4 linked regions of the Cricetulus griseus genome follow. The protein of the gene in region 3 interacts with the protein of the main gene of each other region in a pairwise test. Links are inferred from orthologs where the notes say so. Each region holds a gene or a part of one and is shown on either strand. Other genes may lie near its edges.

The links.
Region 1: the proteins of Cry1 (region 3) and Arntl interact in a two-hybrid assay, tested with the Homo sapiens proteins (3 studies listed by BioGRID, with this or other methods). The link is inferred for Cricetulus griseus from reciprocal best matches to the Homo sapiens genes CRY1 and BMAL1.
Region 2: the proteins of Cry1 (region 3) and Per2 interact in a two-hybrid assay, tested with the Homo sapiens proteins (5 studies listed by BioGRID, with this or other methods). The link is inferred for Cricetulus griseus from reciprocal best matches to the Homo sapiens genes CRY1 and PER2.
Region 4: the proteins of Cry1 (region 3) and Per1 interact in binary tests that used the Homo sapiens proteins (3 or more experiments, as listed by UniProt). The link is inferred for Cricetulus griseus from reciprocal best matches to the Homo sapiens genes CRY1 and PER1.

The regions. Positions count from the first base shown.
Region 1 is NC_048596.1:87,402,620-87,406,300, reverse strand, and holds part of Arntl (aryl hydrocarbon receptor nuclear translocator-like protein 1), read left to right. Parts: intron 1-98; coding exon 99-140; intron 141-1,523; coding exon 1,524-1,681; intron 1,682-3,379; coding exon 3,380-3,459; intron 3,460-3,681. UniProt on the Homo sapiens protein: Transcriptional activator which forms a core component of the circadian clock.
Region 2 is NC_048595.1:442,981,537-442,985,896, reverse strand, and holds the start of Per2 (period circadian protein homolog 2), read left to right. Parts: upstream 1-1,437; 5' UTR 1,438-1,589; intron 1,590-4,360. UniProt on the Homo sapiens protein: Transcriptional repressor which forms a core component of the circadian clock.
Region 3 is NW_023276806.1:150,312,115-150,314,840, forward strand, and holds the end of Cry1 (cryptochrome-1), read left to right. Parts: intron 1-127; coding exon 128-199; intron 200-275; coding exon 276-379; 3' UTR 380-383; intron 384-1,449; 3' UTR 1,450-2,075; downstream 2,076-2,726.
Region 4 is NC_048600.1:82,966,575-82,970,966, reverse strand, and holds the start of Per1 (period circadian protein homolog 1), read right to left. Parts: upstream 2,930-4,392; 5' UTR 2,726-2,929; intron 852-2,725; exon of another isoform or gene 677-851; intron 1-676. UniProt on the Homo sapiens protein: Transcriptional repressor which forms a core component of the circadian clock.

The sequences.
Region 1 (3,681 bases), on a different chromosome or scaffold from region 3:
GAGAGGTGTCAGGGGTCAGGCAGTGAGAAAACAGAAATGTGTAACTCTGCCAGTCATACACGGGGGACTAAAGGTTATGTTTTTGTACTTCCTTCCAGGTTAGAATATGCAGAGCACCAAGGAAGGATCAAGAATGCAAGGTAAGTTCCACCTTTGATTTTGTCTATAAAACATCCTAGCTTTTTAGTCGCTTAGAGAATAGCTGAAGAGTCTTGATATGTCTATTCCCAATTGGTGGTGTCATCTTGGGCATTGTCACCTCAGGAAATGAGGAGATGGCAGCAGGTTTCAGCTTGTTTAAGGTTCTGCCCTTGGCTTTCCCTATACTAAGCTGGCCTTCACTTGTTGCTATCTATGCACATTTAACCTGGAGGAAACTTTGGACATAGCAGAAAGTCATTCAGGCTGGAGTTCTCTCCAGTCTTCACAGTTCCTCACTCACTGGCCCTCCAGAAGACATATGGCTGAGATGCCATTCCTGGGCTGGGCCCCACCTCTGATAGGGACCTTTATTGTGCTGCAAGTAGTACCTGAAGGGCAGATCTTAGGCATCCCTGAACCTCAGAGGTCTCCTGACTTAGTTCTTGTCTCAGGCACAATTGCTGATGCCCTTCTGTTGGGTCTTTATGCCTCCCTGCTATCACTGACTAGGGCCAGTTGAGGTTGTGTCATGACACACAGAACCAGAAGCTGCAGACTGTCTAACCTGACACTTCTAGCATCTCCTTTGCAGACCAGTCTATTCAGGGGGCTCTGTGTTTCAGTATCTAATTCTCCATTGGTGATGTTCCCCTATGGGAGGATGGTCAGAAAATACCAGGTGCACATCTTGTAGGAAGTGTCATCCTACCTAAACAGGCAGCCAGTTCAGGGGTAGAGTATGATATGGCATCCCTCAAAGGAAGGCTGGGGACAGACTGAGAATCTGTCACATCTAGGTGGGTCTCAGTTGATCAAAGACCATGTTAGTACTAGTTATATCCTCCAGACAGACATGATGGCTTCAGCAGGGCACACAGTGGGCTGGTCACAGGTGGCAGAGGCACGTGCTGTGGGATGTTGGGTGTTCTGTGGCTGTTTTAGATGCTTGGCTATGTGGAACCTCTTCCTTCCTTCCTTCCTTCCTTCCTTCCTTCCTTCCTTCCTTCCTTCCTTCCTTCCTTCCTTCCTCCTATCCCTTCCAAAAACCTGGTCTTACAGAATCTGAAAAAAAGAACAATGAGGAAAAATAAACAATTCAGTTTGTTGTGAAAGAACAATTGTCATAGATTTTTTTTTCTTAAAAGATGGGGTAAGCATCAAAAACAAATAAATGAAGAAACAAATCAGTTACCTAATTCTGAATTGTCAATGAGAACACTTGGGAGGTGATTTTTAATATAAAAGTCTAATTTGAAACATGGTACAGAGTCTGAATTTCCCATGTCAGAGAATTTTGGAAGCAGTCACAACTCATTTATTTTTGTCAGTGTTGCCTCAATGCTGCCTCACATCTCAAATGAAATCATTCTACCCATGTTCAGGGAGGCCCACAGTCAGATTGAAAAGAGGCGTCGGGACAAAATGAACAGTTTCATTGATGAGTTGGCTTCTTTGGTACCAACATGCAATGCGATGTCCAGGAAGTTAGATAAGCTCACCGTGCTAAGGATGGCTGTTCAGCACATGAAAACATTGAGAGGTGAGATCTCAGGCTTCATTACCTTTATGCCCTTGACCACAAATGTGACCACCCTTGCCTGCACTGTCCCTGACACAAATGGCGATTTTCAGTGTATAACCCTCAGTGATATGCTGGTACATCTCAGCAACAGATAAGGGGCCAAATCAAGTGATTAATGAGCCCATGAGGGTACTGAGGTGTAATTTGCAGTAGTATCTTCTCAGAGCATATAAACATATGAGCTCAAAACCTCTGTGTGCCTGGCTTCCTGCCTACCAGAGAGGGCACCTCTCAAGTCCCCCTTTTCAAGTGCCTGAATCCCTTATAGTGATCAAAATCAGAAGCATAGGAGCACACAGGGAGGCAGGAGAGAGCCTTGGACTTTTAAGAGAAAAACTTACCCTGGTTCTTCTGATGAGTGAGTCACAGGTAGAATGTCTTATTATCAGAAATGAACATTGATGATATTTTCGTCTTCTTGGAATTTTCCCGAACTCGATTGACTCTTCATGAAGGAGGCAGTGTTTTCCTTCTTTGCTAAGTGTGGGGAGGGTGAGAAAACAGAGGCAGTAAAGAAGAGCCAACTTACCAAAGCTGCAGGAGGAACCTGAAATACATCACCCAATTTGGTGGATGTTGTCCCTGGAATTTTCCAGATAGACTTGGGCTTCAGCACAAACTTGGAAAGGGTGCTCAGCCCCATGTGACCTACATGGTGAGAGAGGCACACCTTTGTATCTGTGTAAGGTCACCAGAAACAGGAAGTTGTTTTTGTTCTGACTTTTGATCATTATTAAAAAAATATATAGAAATGTTGCTTGAAGAATGGCATTGAAAACTTGATTTTAGTCAAGAGATGCATCATAATTAGGTAACTAATTGTTATAGAAAATTGGATGGAAAATTTCAAGGGATGTGGATTAAGACATGTGCCTTGTGAGTTGATGTGAAGTACACAGGCATCCCCTTTGCCTCCTTCCCCGCGGGGCCTTGATTTTCACAGATGGGCTGCCTCTTAGCCCTTCACTGTGCCCTCACTGTTCTGCATATACCAGTCATTTGCAGCTGGCACTTGGCTTTGCTAAGCTATTGCTCTGGAGAACAGCAGATCAAGAGCCTTTTAAACAGAAGTCTGGGCCCCTCAGTTCCCAGGACTGAACTGTGTGAATGAAAGTAACATGCTCCCCAGGTTGCCAAGCATATTAACTTTCCCAAGGAAAGTACCCAGGACCTGGCAGCTTGGATGATTTCTCTAGAACCTGCTAAGTGGTGACTTGACAAAATTACTGGATGGCCCAGGACCTTGGACCTCTTTTCCTTGGAACCTGCTAGGGAGACTCAGAGCTGTGGTCTTTGTGGAGTTTTGTTAGTTTGTTTTTGTTTTTTGAGACAGGGTCTCACTATGTAGCTCTGGCTAGCCTGGAACCATGTAGACCAGACTGACCTCAGTCTCAGAGACCTACCTACCTCTGACTTCTGAGTGCTGGGGTTGAAGGTGTGAGCTACCATGCCTGTTTCCCCGGTAATTAGGAAAGTGCACTTACTCAGTCTCCTGTGGGCAGCAGCATTCTCTTTTCACTGAGGTTCTACTTTGGCATGATAGGATTCTGAGCCAAGCCAGATCCACCATGTTTTGATTCAGCCCAGGTTGCAGGCAGGGGAACGTGATGCTGTCTAAATAGAAAAATCTGCCCACTCTTTCTTTTTCTCCCCAAGGTGCCACGAACCCATACACAGAAGCAAACTACAAGCCAACATTTCTATCTGATGACGAATTGAAACATCTAATTCTCAGGGTATGTGGCAGTTGTGGGAACTCTTTTCACGGCATTGGTTTCTTAATAAGTTTCAGAGTAAGTACATCATGAAGGAGTCTGACATCTCGACACTGAATTCTCCTGGGCCCTCTTCCTCTCTTGTTTCCCCCACTTTATCTTGGTTTCTAGACACATTTCACATTCCTTCCATGAAACCAGTCACTCACCTACCTCTCAATATCACTTAGGCAAAGAAGGGAA
Region 2 (4,360 bases), on a different chromosome or scaffold from region 3:
GTGAGTCACACATCTGGCTTCCCAGGGCCCCTTGGGAAGAGTTGCTGAGGTGAACTTAGTCTGCCCCAGCTGCATCTGAGGATCTGTATGCCTGTTCTGCCAGGCAGAGAGAAAGAAGAGGCTCACACACAGGAATTCTTGAATGTGGGTTAACTGGCTGTATAGACCAGCAGCTCAGTCCCTTCACAGGCTTCTGTTTATAATGTTTGCTTTGTTTTCCATCCCTGGTTCCTAGGAGGCCCAAGGGGAAGATCCAGAGTAGCAGATGCTGCTCCTGGGCAGTGCCAAGTGACCCTTTTCACTTGTCAAAGACAACTTCGTCTCCCCATCACACCTTGCACTTTCAGAGCCTTTAAGTTGTTCTATGTCATACAGGTAAATCTTGGGCCTTAAACCAGTCCCAACGGAAGTTCTGCTCCCTCCTTTGACCCTTTGGACAGAAGCCTGCATGCTTAATACGTTTCCAGATACTGGTCTTGAAAGAACAAATAGCGTCAGCCAAGGTGCCACAAGGGCAGGGCTGCCCCATCCCTGGGGAGTTCCCTACCCTGGCTAGCAAGTGTCTGCAGCTTCCACCTTGGAAAAGTCCTGATTCTCCAGATGCGTACCCCATTTACCCATCCTCAGGTGCCCCGCCTCCGTAGAGTTTATTTGTAAGGCTAATTAACTACAGCATCCCATTTGCTAAAGTTTTAGAACGCCAAGTCTTTTCTGTCTATGAGATTGAGGGCAGGGAGGAATCACTTCTTTCTTTTGTATCTCTGCACAGTAATTATGACCTTATTTCCTGAATCCACACTTGCAACACGCGGTTTCAAAATCAAGAAAGGCTACATGGAAGCGGGGACGACCCGTCAGCCTGGGGCACAGGATGCCCTGGGTGGGTGTGCAGCGGCAGATCTAGAGGGTCCGCCCTGTTTGTCTTCGGGCGCTTCTCCATGAATGAATGAGAAAAGAAATGAATGAACTGGGCTGGGTGAGCGAAGGGTGTCAGCACAGAGCTTTCTCGGTTCTGCGGGGCGCCCGGGCGGCCGTGTCGCCGCAGGTGGTAGGCCCGCGGCCCCTGGACTCCGCGGGGGGCCGAACTGCGTAGCCACCAGGCATCAGTCCCCCCCGCGCTGCAGTGGTACGTGCCACTCCGCGCGGCACGAGCGGGCAGCCGCCGTGCCAGGTGAATGGAAGGCCCGCGGGCCGGAAGTGGACGAGCCCACTCGCCAGAACGCGGGGGGGAGCACGAGCGCGCAGCTTCTTCATTGAGGAACCGAGGCGGCGAACATGGAGTTCCATGTGCGTCTTATGTAAAGAGAGCGACGGGCGTCTCAGCCAATTGGCGCGCGGTGCTCTCAGGTCCCGCCCCGCCGGTATGCAGATGAGGCGGCGCCGCGACCAATGGCGGGCGCCGGGGCGGGCGCAGCGCGCGCGGTCACGTTTTCCACTATGTGACAGCGGAGGGCGACGGGGCGGCGGCGGCGGCCGGCGGCGCGGCAGCGCGACAGGGACTAGCGGCTTCGGGCGGCTGCGGCGCAGGCCGGGCGCACCGAGGGACGGGCCGAGAGAAGGACCGAGGCGCGGGCGGACACGGCGGAGCGGTGAGTGGCGCGGCGCCGGGCGGTGGCGCGAACCGGGACGACCGCGGGCGGCTTACGTAACCGGCGGCTCGGACAGCTGGAGCCGGGGTCCTGCGCCAGAAGTAGCCGACCGAGAGAATGGGTGCAGCTCGGCAGAATGCAGCAGACAGGACCGTGCGCTGACCCTCGTCCCGGCGCACACTGCTGCCCCCGTTTCGCAGGTCTAGGCACAGGGGTCGGCAAGATTAGTTAGGTGTCTTGTCTGACGGTGTTTCTTTAAATGATTTTCTTTATCCCCCACCCCCTCCACTGGTGATGTCCAAGAGCGCCGGGGTCAGTGCAAACTGTCCCTAGGACACAGAGGGTCTCTTGAGAAGCTCGCTTCCTGTTGAGTCCTGAGAGTGAAGCCTGATCCTGGGGAAGGACCGATGGATGACAGGCGCTGATCCCTGCGGTGACGCGGGGAAGGAAGGGGGCAAGCCAGCCCCCCAGTGCCAAGCCACACCTGGGGCCCCCGAGGTCAGGAAGACCACCTGGTCCACCCACTTTGTGCTCTGTGGCATCCTTGCCAGTATCCCTGACTCCAGATGGACTGGGCATGTGTGGGGGTGAGGGTCCACTCTGAGTTGGAGCAATCACGTCATCCTTTGGGACATACCTTGGCTGCCAAGTGCAGACATGGACCCAGAGGTGGGCGGTGGCCTGCTTCCCCTGCAGGAACCCTGGTTGCCAGGGTTTCTGTAACGTATACACAAGGAACCAGTTTGGAAAGGTGATTCATACAGAACAGAGAGCCAGAAAGCTCCCTGGAAATCGTCCAGGGTAACCCCTAGCTCGATGAGGCACAGACACAGGCTGGCAGGCTGTGCCACTGTAAAACCAGGCCTGGCCATCTCAGGATCTGTTTTTTTCCTCCTTGGTCCACATGCTTACCAGAGGTGCAAGCCTGAAGAGGACATGTCCACTCTACCTTAGTCTACTGGGCCTAGGTGGGATTTGGCTGATAAGGGAAACCAGAGTCTGCCAGAAGTCTTGAATTATAATTCGGGTTTTTAAATCACACAGTCACTTTTCTTTTAAGTTATTGGAATCTAATGAAGCCAGGGACTCCTTTATTTTAGTGGTAGCTGCACAGTGTGCCAGCATGGAATGGCATAGTGGGTGGTTGCAGTTATCTGTCACTGTCATCTTGGTGTGATTCCCTGGTACAGAGCTGATGCAGCTCCTGTTTTCTGTGGAGGCTGGAGTACTCAGCAGCAGGGGAGCCCTGCGTCAGCCAGCTGGCAGCTACTGGGAACCTTGGCTTACCCTGGGCCTCAGTTTCCTCATTGGAGGCAGTCTCTGAAATATGATTCAGTTCAGGGGTTTGGAGTTCTGGGTCTGTGGACTGTTTTCTCGGGCACCTGTCCAAGAGATAAGAAGTTTCTGAAGCTCTGCCTGGTGTCACTTAATGTCACGGTGTGAGACATATCTGCTGTGCACAAGGAAGTAGTGAGGGTTCCTGTTATTATGTGGCTTCTCTCAAACACTGAACCTTCTAGAAAACCCTGGAAGGTGTGGGGGCCTGTTATTATAATGGTATAATTTCATCCAATCTCAGTGAACCCTGAGCTCCCATGCTGGGAAGTTGATGAATGATTGATAAAACTGGCATATAGAGGCAGAGGAAAGAGCCACACTGGAGGTTGGTGTTGCCCTTGGAAATGACTGTATTGGCGGCCTGGAAACACATAACCCCCAGCCCTTTGTAGTCCTCTTCATCCAACCCTTGCCAGAAGCTGCCTACCAGTAGACTCCTGGGAGAACAAGCAAGTGTAGAGCCTCTGCTGGCCCATTCCCAAGTCAGGGTACTCCCCTGTGGGGATCTGGCCCGCATGTGAAGTCTTTTGCTCATGGAATATAGTAACAAGCCAGTCACTACAGACAACTCTAGAGTCCAGAGCAAGACAGAAGCAGGGAGAGAGGCTACACAATTGACTTTGTGGGTCTGTGGGTGTGTGCGTGTGGGGGTTGCAGGACAACTTGAAGGAGTCAGTTACAGGGATCAAACTCAGGTCACCAATCCCCGCAGCAAGTGTCTTTACCCACTGAGCTGTCTTACCAGTCCTCACTTAATTATCTTGGCACAGTGGGCTTTGTGGAGAAACAGGCCCTATTCACTGCAACACCTGATCAAATAGGATCAGCCCAGGTTACCAAGGGCAAAGGCATTCAAGCAGCTCCTCTTCAACCACCACCAGGGGCTGCCATCTTGGTACGTTATTGTTCTGCAGCTTGGTACCTCAACATAGGTAAGGACTGAAAAGCATGTGGGGGTGTCCTGGTGAGGCAGTGCCCCTCCCGAATGCCTCCTTCCCCTCCTTATTTGGACAGCCCTGGCCACATTTTCCTCCGTTACCCAACCGTCACCATGGAGAGCGTGGCTGTTTGTTTAACAGGACAAACATTTTCTCCGGATTACAGCAGGCAGGCCCCAGGGAGTTGGCTCCTACCAGGAAGTAGAAAACATGTTATAATATTTGAGGTTGTAAAATACCATGAGGCTTGCAGACTCGAGGTCCAGGCTGTCAGGTCCCTGTTATGTAAAGTTAGAAAACAATCAGAGTTTGCTGGGCTGTGATTAGCCAGGCTCAAGCTGTTCCTGCAGGCTGGTCAGAGGGGCGTGTTCAGTTCAGGGACGCTTACCAAGCTGGGACCTTATGATGTATGTGTCTGTACTTTCAAGGAAGTAGCTTCTTTACTGATTTTCATTTCCCTCAGAAAATGTGTTTATTTTCTTCTTAAGCAGGGGG
Region 3 (2,726 bases):
TGTGATCTTTGGCTCAGAGTTAAGATTAAGAAAAGTTAAATACAAATACTTATAAAAAAAACAGGTTTTATAGTCCTAATGTATACATCTTAAGTTTTTAAGTCATTTTCTTTTGTTTGAAATACAGGTTGCTCTCAAGGAAGTGGTATTTTACATTATGCTCATGGAGACAGTCAGCAAGCTCACCTGCTAAAGCAAGGTAAGGGGAAGCAAGCACTCAAGATCACTGCGCCCCCTCCTGGCCCCACCTCACACGTGCATTTGTAAATGTGTAGGAAGAAGCTCCATGGGCACCAGCCTCAGCAGCGGGAAGCGCCCCAGTCAGGAAGAGGAGACACGGAGTGTTGATCCCAAAGTCCAGCGGCAGAGCAGTAACTGACATGGTAAATACTTAGGTTTTCTCTCCTGCTTTAGTATAGAACTAACCTGAAATAACTAATGAGGACTGTTCTATTCTCTGGCATATAAGCAGTTGTCATAGACCCTGTTCATGAATGAACAGGAGAGACGCTCCTGTATTGGGCAGAACACTGCACCCAGAACCATGCTCCCTGAATCCAGTCTTTCACCCTGAAAAGCTTTGGTTTTGAGGAAGACAAGGTTTTCATAAGATATGACTGTGAGCCTAAAACAAAGGAGCCTCCTAATTTCAAAAACTTTAATATAATTCCTCTAAAACCTTCACCTCAAACCTTTACTTAAGTATTGATAATTAAGGAGAGAAGGGGTTTGAGACATGGTCTCTGTATAGTGCAGGCTACCCTTGAACTCATACACAGGCTAGTGTCATACTTGCAGTGGTCCAGGCTAGCCTCATACTTGCAGTGGTCCTTCTGTGTCATTTTCCTGAAGGCTAGGATTGCACAAACGTACCATATGCTCAGGTCATGCATTATCTTCTCTGCTGTGCTGCTTCCAAAACCTAAGTCATTAATTTTTAAGCAATGCTGGGCCTTTTTAGAAGTATCAGAAATTGTGTCTACATCCAATTTAATTGAATTTGTGATACTATTTTGTGACCTAATAAGGAAAGTATTTACTAGCTACTTTTGCCAGCTTATTTATTTATTTATTTATTTATTTATTTATTTATTTATTATGTATGCAGTATTCTGCCTGCACATATCCCTGCAGGCCAGAAGAGGGCACCAGATTTTATTGCAGATGGTTATGAGCCACCATGTTGTTGCTGGGAATTGAACTGAGGACATCTAGAAGAGCAGCCAGTGTTCTTAACTTCTGAGCCGTCTCTCTGGTGGCCTACTTTTGCCAGTTTTTAAAGATTATTTTTCATATTTTTGGTTATTGGAAACTGTTTACATTATCACCTAGTTTTTTATGTCACCTAATTATGAATTTCTTGAAGTTAAAATCAGTAAATGCGTATCAGTTTTTTATTATTTAACTCCTTACAGCCAAGTTTTCATTGGTTTTTCCTTTAAATCACAGGAAACACGAAGGAGGAGTTCTGGTGCAGCTGAAGTTGGTGAGCCAGTCAGGACTCTTCATTTAAATTATTAAAAATGTCCTTCATTCACAGAAAACAGATTTTGAACATATTATTTCTAATAACATTTCTGTGGTTTTTAACTTTTTAATGAATATCACATAGGACAAGTGCTAATTTGTATATAAAGAACTTGGCAAAAGGTTTGCTTAATGTAAATATAGTCACAGTTAGTATAGACTCATCAGTATATTTTTGATAATTTTTCATGTATGGTAAAAGTTAAAGTTAACAGATATTCTGATATAAAACTCAAGTTTTGAGAGTCATTGCAGGAAAATGGGAAGTTTTTAGACTTTCTTAAAAGACTTTGTTAAAATTTTAGGACACATTTTTCTTGACATCATTGTTTAACCAATTCTGCAGTGTTTGATAGTAACACTTTAGAAAACACCTGGAATCAATGAGTAGGCGATGCCTCTGTTAGCGTGGACAGTGCCTGGTAAAGCTGCGTGTACAGCTGCTCCCACTCACACTGCTGGGCTGTGCTCGGTTCTCTTTGTCTCCCCATTTTTTGTTCATTTATAGCTGAAGTGACTTTGTTATTAAAGTTTATGCAAATATGGAATCTTGTGTACTTGGTGTTCATTTTTTCATCTTGTTTGTTTGGGATAAGAGAATTGTGTGAGATGTGATGCAAATTACAGAGACAAATACTAGAAACCACATGTCACCATTTTGAATGAAAGAATAGGTTTTATCTAGCAAAATGGAATTTTTCAGAGTTATCTGAAAGAGTCTCATTTGTTTGTATCACTTAATGGTTTTATTGCTGCAAGTTAGGCTGCGTGAGTCATCAGTTAAGAGCATGGGTTCCAAAGTCAAAGCCTGTCTTCTCTCAGTTGTTAGCTTTGAGATATTGGGCATGACCTTGCCTTTCTGTCTTCATCTTACCATCTTAAAATGGAAGTAAGAATAGTATGTAAAGTATTCATTTGTACTGCAAGGCATACAGCCCAACCAATCAATGTTAGCCTGGCTCCCTGGGTTGTACAGGCTAGCTGCTGCTCCCAGTCACCCTCCCTACTGGGTTCCATTAGGCACCTTCATACTAAAGTCACCTCATTTATACTAATATATACCAATATAACCACCGGTTCTTTGTTTTCCTCTCCTGAGTAGTAACAAACACTCCGCATAGTAGGGGTGTGGCTCATGTAGGAGAGCATCTGCCCAGAATATGTAAGGCCCTGGGTCTAATCCTCAGTAGCACACACAC
Region 4 (4,392 bases), on a different chromosome or scaffold from region 3:
TCATTTACTGTATTCTCAGCAGTAATGCAAGTCAGTCAGTTTGTGTCAGGACCTGACACACAGCAGACTGGCGCTAAACATGATGACTTTGTTTCTATCAAGGATAGGTAAGGGAGAGGGAGCCTCGGGAGGACGGGAAGCAACAAATTACAATTTTAAAAAGAAAAGTAGAGCACTGATTCATAAAAAAGAGAGCAGGGGCTTGATTTGGAGGAATAACGTGCCAGTCTGGGTCTATCCAGACCTGTGCTGAGCAGTTCTTCCAGGGTTCCCTGGAAACCTAGATGGCAGGTGAAGAGGCCACCAAGCAGCTGCTGACATAATCAGCTGTAAGTGCACGCCCCTCTCTGTCACGTGGCTAAAGCTTTCCTTAACAATAGTGTTTCCCTTGGAGGAGGCGGAGGGGCAGGGATTTGTAAAAAAGCTGGGACACAGAAGTGTTATAAAATAACCCAGAAAAAAAAAAAAAAAACAGAAGCAGGAAAACGGAAAACAAAAGACACAGGCACCTGAATCCCCAGCTTCCTCTTCCTGAAAATGATGCTGCTTTCCTGCCCCCTCGTACTGTGTGTGACCCTGTTCTCTCCTTTTTTTGTTTTCAGACCCCTTTCTCCCTCCACAGCTCTCAAGGATTTAGGTGTGATTCCTCTGACCCAAACAGCCATTGCTCACCCACCTCCGTATCTGCCATTTACACAGACAAAAGGTTCAGCACTCCAACAGCCCCCACCTAGTCCCAAGGCCCAGGTTGTCAGGTCTGACGGTCCCCACAGTAACCAGGCTCTGCTGCCGTCAATGGAGAAGAGGGGGCGGGAGACAGTGGTGACGTCAAAGCGGAGGAAGGAGGCGGGGCGAGGCAGCCGGGGAATGTGGGGCAGGGAGGCTGGAGAGGCAGCGGTTTGGGAGGCAGCCAGCCCCAGAGGGCGGCGGCCAGCGCACTAGGGAACATCGTGTTCTCTTGGCTGGTGGCCCAGGACATGCACTCAGACTTGGCGCCTCCCCCAACCCAACGACAGCCGTCCTGTACAAAAGCCAGGGATTCCTGGAGAGACGGTTAGGAGAAAGGGGTCCCCCTTCCCTACCCCCATGCCTGGCTCTCTTTTCCGGACTTGGCGTTTGTGGGCCCCCAGCTGGTTCTTACAGCTCCTGGCGTTGGCTTTTCCCTTTCACCAAACTGTACACAGCTGCTGGCCAGGTACCAAAGAGCCACCGCGGGTAAATCGGAGGCCCAGGTTCAGAGAGGGAACGCGCACCTTTGCTCCTTCCCAGAGGCCCCCTTCAGAGGCGGAATTTCTAGTTACTATTACAACACAGAATGGGGGTGGGTTGGGGAGAATGCATTTAGAATAAGGAAGTCAAACTGGGACAGTGCAAGTAGCCTCAGTCTGGAGCCCAGATCTTGGGAGAGGAATACAGGGGAGGAATGATGGAATTTGGGTTGGTGCCTGCAGACCAGAAAAATCAGGAAGAGGGAAAAGAGGAGTCATCAAAACTTGCAGAAAAACAGAAGATGAGGGTTAGCTCTATCACTATTGCTTAGTTACCTTATAGTTTGTGTTTTAAATGACCCAAGCGTGGGCTTCGTATTTTATGTATACTGTTTTTTTAAGCCCCAAAACAACTGAATGAAGGTAGCTATCACTCTTATTTCATGAGGGATAACTAAGACTTAGTAGTCACTAAACTTGCCTTAATTGTCTGCTTCATAAACATGTTCTCAGCTTCTTAATAATGGAGCCCAAGGTTCAAGCTCTGATGATGTCTTGTCCTGGCTTCTTACCCTCAGGGACCCTCTGAAAGTGTTACTAACCCTCTACTCTGCATTCCAGCACCGTCAAACCAGGACTTCTCACATATTTCCCTAGTTCTAAGTTTGGTGCCTAGAATACAAGCTTCATCCAGTTCCTTCTTCCTTTCCGCATGATCTAAAGGCATTGTTTGTACTCCACACACACCACCACCGTTCATTTTTTTTACTATGCTCAAAGGCCTTGAAATCATCCGAGAAGTCTCCAGCCACTATTACAGGAACCTGTAGGAACCTCACTTCCTCCCTCTCCCACCTCAACCAGGCCTGTCTAGACAGCAGAGCAGCCTTTTGGTGCCTCCTCACCTCTGGCAAGTCGAGAAGAGTGGGCAAGCCGGTATATAGAAACCCTCTACCCTATTCTCCCTTTCAGAATCCAATAAATCGCTAGCTCATTTCTGTTTACAAGCATGTACCTGAGACCCCAACGCTATCCTTTCCACGTGAAAAAGTAACCCATGGTCGTGATGAGATAGCTTCCGAGTCACACAAATCAGCACACCAACCTTTCTCAGAATACCATCCCACATTCCCACCTGCCCTACCAGGGCCTTTCTCCAGGCTCAGACTCTGCCTCTCCAAGTATTTAGGGAGCCTACCCAAACCTTAACCAACTCTCAGGCGTCCTATCGCAGGCCCTTCAGCTCCCTCGGGTGGCTGAGGGCTTCTGAGCACTCTAGGCTAGGCAATAGGGTCTAGGGACCCTAGAGAGCTGAGAGATGTATGCTAGTAACTCCCATCCATGTTCCCCTAGAGCTGAGTTTGCAGTCCACAACCGTCAAGCACTCCTATTGCAACCATCGCGCATTTGCATGATCACGCACACACACACACACCACGCCACTGACACCCCTTTTGGCCGAGCAATCCTCCCGGGAAAAACCCATTTCGACCGCCCCAGAGTAGGGGGCTACTCACAGTTCCGATCGCACGCAGAATCCAAATTTCTTCACTACTTGGGAAGCTACTCCACAGGCTCCTCCAGGCCTTCCCACTGCCCATTCTGTCACGCCTCCCAAGCTTATTGGCTTACAGGCGCCAACCCATGCCCCGCGCCGCGTGCAGCCGACAAGCCCCTGCAAAGCCACCATTGGCACTTCAGGGCGCAGTCATCTTACCATTGGGCAACATGACAACCGGTAGTGATAGAGCCACGTGAGGGAGGGGGCGCCCCAGCGCGTTGATTGGACATCTGACCGGAAGCCACACCTCTCGCCCACTCCCAAAGCTTTTATTGGCTGTGGAAACAGCCCCGCCCTGCCTAAATCGGTGACGCAAATGCCAGCCCTGCCCTAAAAACTTTCTCATAGGCTGAGAGGTCTCGGAGATGTAGGGAACACGTGCGGGCCGGCTCACGCGGCAACTTGTTTACCGAGAAGCTGGGGATTTTCCTTGACGACACTTACCCAAGACTGTGGAGTCTGCGCAGGCCTGCCGAGCGACTTGTACGCAGGCGTAGATGTGACAGGCTATGGCGTAGTGGGGATACTTAGTAGAGACCCTGCCAAGACAAGAGGCTCCTGGTGCCCGAGTTTTGTGTCTCCGATTATCCCCAAAGCTTAAATCTGAACATAAGAAGAGGTCTTTAGATTGCATGACGATGATAGTGAAAATGACAGTCGCCTCCTGTTTTCTGTATCAGACGCTTCTTGCAGACTCCTGATGACTACTCATAACCTCACAGAGACTGAGATGCAGGGGTTACATAATCTGTCAGAATTCCCATGTTAACATGTTGATTTAAAAGCTCTGACACCGTGAAGGTAGGTCGGTGTCTTAGGCCTATGGAAACCTTAAGCCTAGAAGTAATTTCAGGGATTAAATGCAAAAAGCCTAACGTATTTAAACTCTCCCATAAAGATAGAAGTTACGGTGGAGTATTGCTAAATACAAGACACCTGGGCACCTTAGAACCTCTAAAATAATGTCCAATGAAAGGGCCTGAAAAAAAATTTTTTTTTGGTTTTTTTTGTTTGTTTGTTTTTTCAAGACAGGGTTTCTCTGTGGCTTTTGGAGGCTGACCTGGAACTAGCTCTTGTAGACCAGGCTGGTCTCGAACTCACAGAGATCCACCTGCCTCTGCCTCCCGAGTGCTGGGATTAAAGGGGTGCACCACCAACACTGGTGGGGAAAAAAAATCTATTTTTTAAAGTACCTCTAAACCGGGCAGTGGTGGCACATGCCTTTAATCCCAGCACTTGGGAGGCAAAGGCAGGCAAATCTCTGAGTTCAAGGCCAGCTTGGTCTACAGAGCAAGTTCCATGACAGCCAGGGGCTACACAGAAAAACCTTGTCTTGAAAAACCAATTTAAAAGAAAAAGTACTTCTAATAGTTCTTATTTCTTGGTCAGGTTTGTTATAGCACATGCCTTTAATCGAAGCTCGAGGGAGGCAGAGAGGCACTTGAAATCAAGGGCAGCCTGGTCTAATAATGAGTTCCAGGACAGTCAGAGCTTCATAGTTGAGACCCTGTCTGCCCCCCCCCCAAAAAAAAAAACCCAAATGTTATTTTATTTTATTTAGACAGGGTCTCATTATGTTGATCAGGCTGGCCTCAAACTCAGAAATCAGCCTGCCTCTGCCTC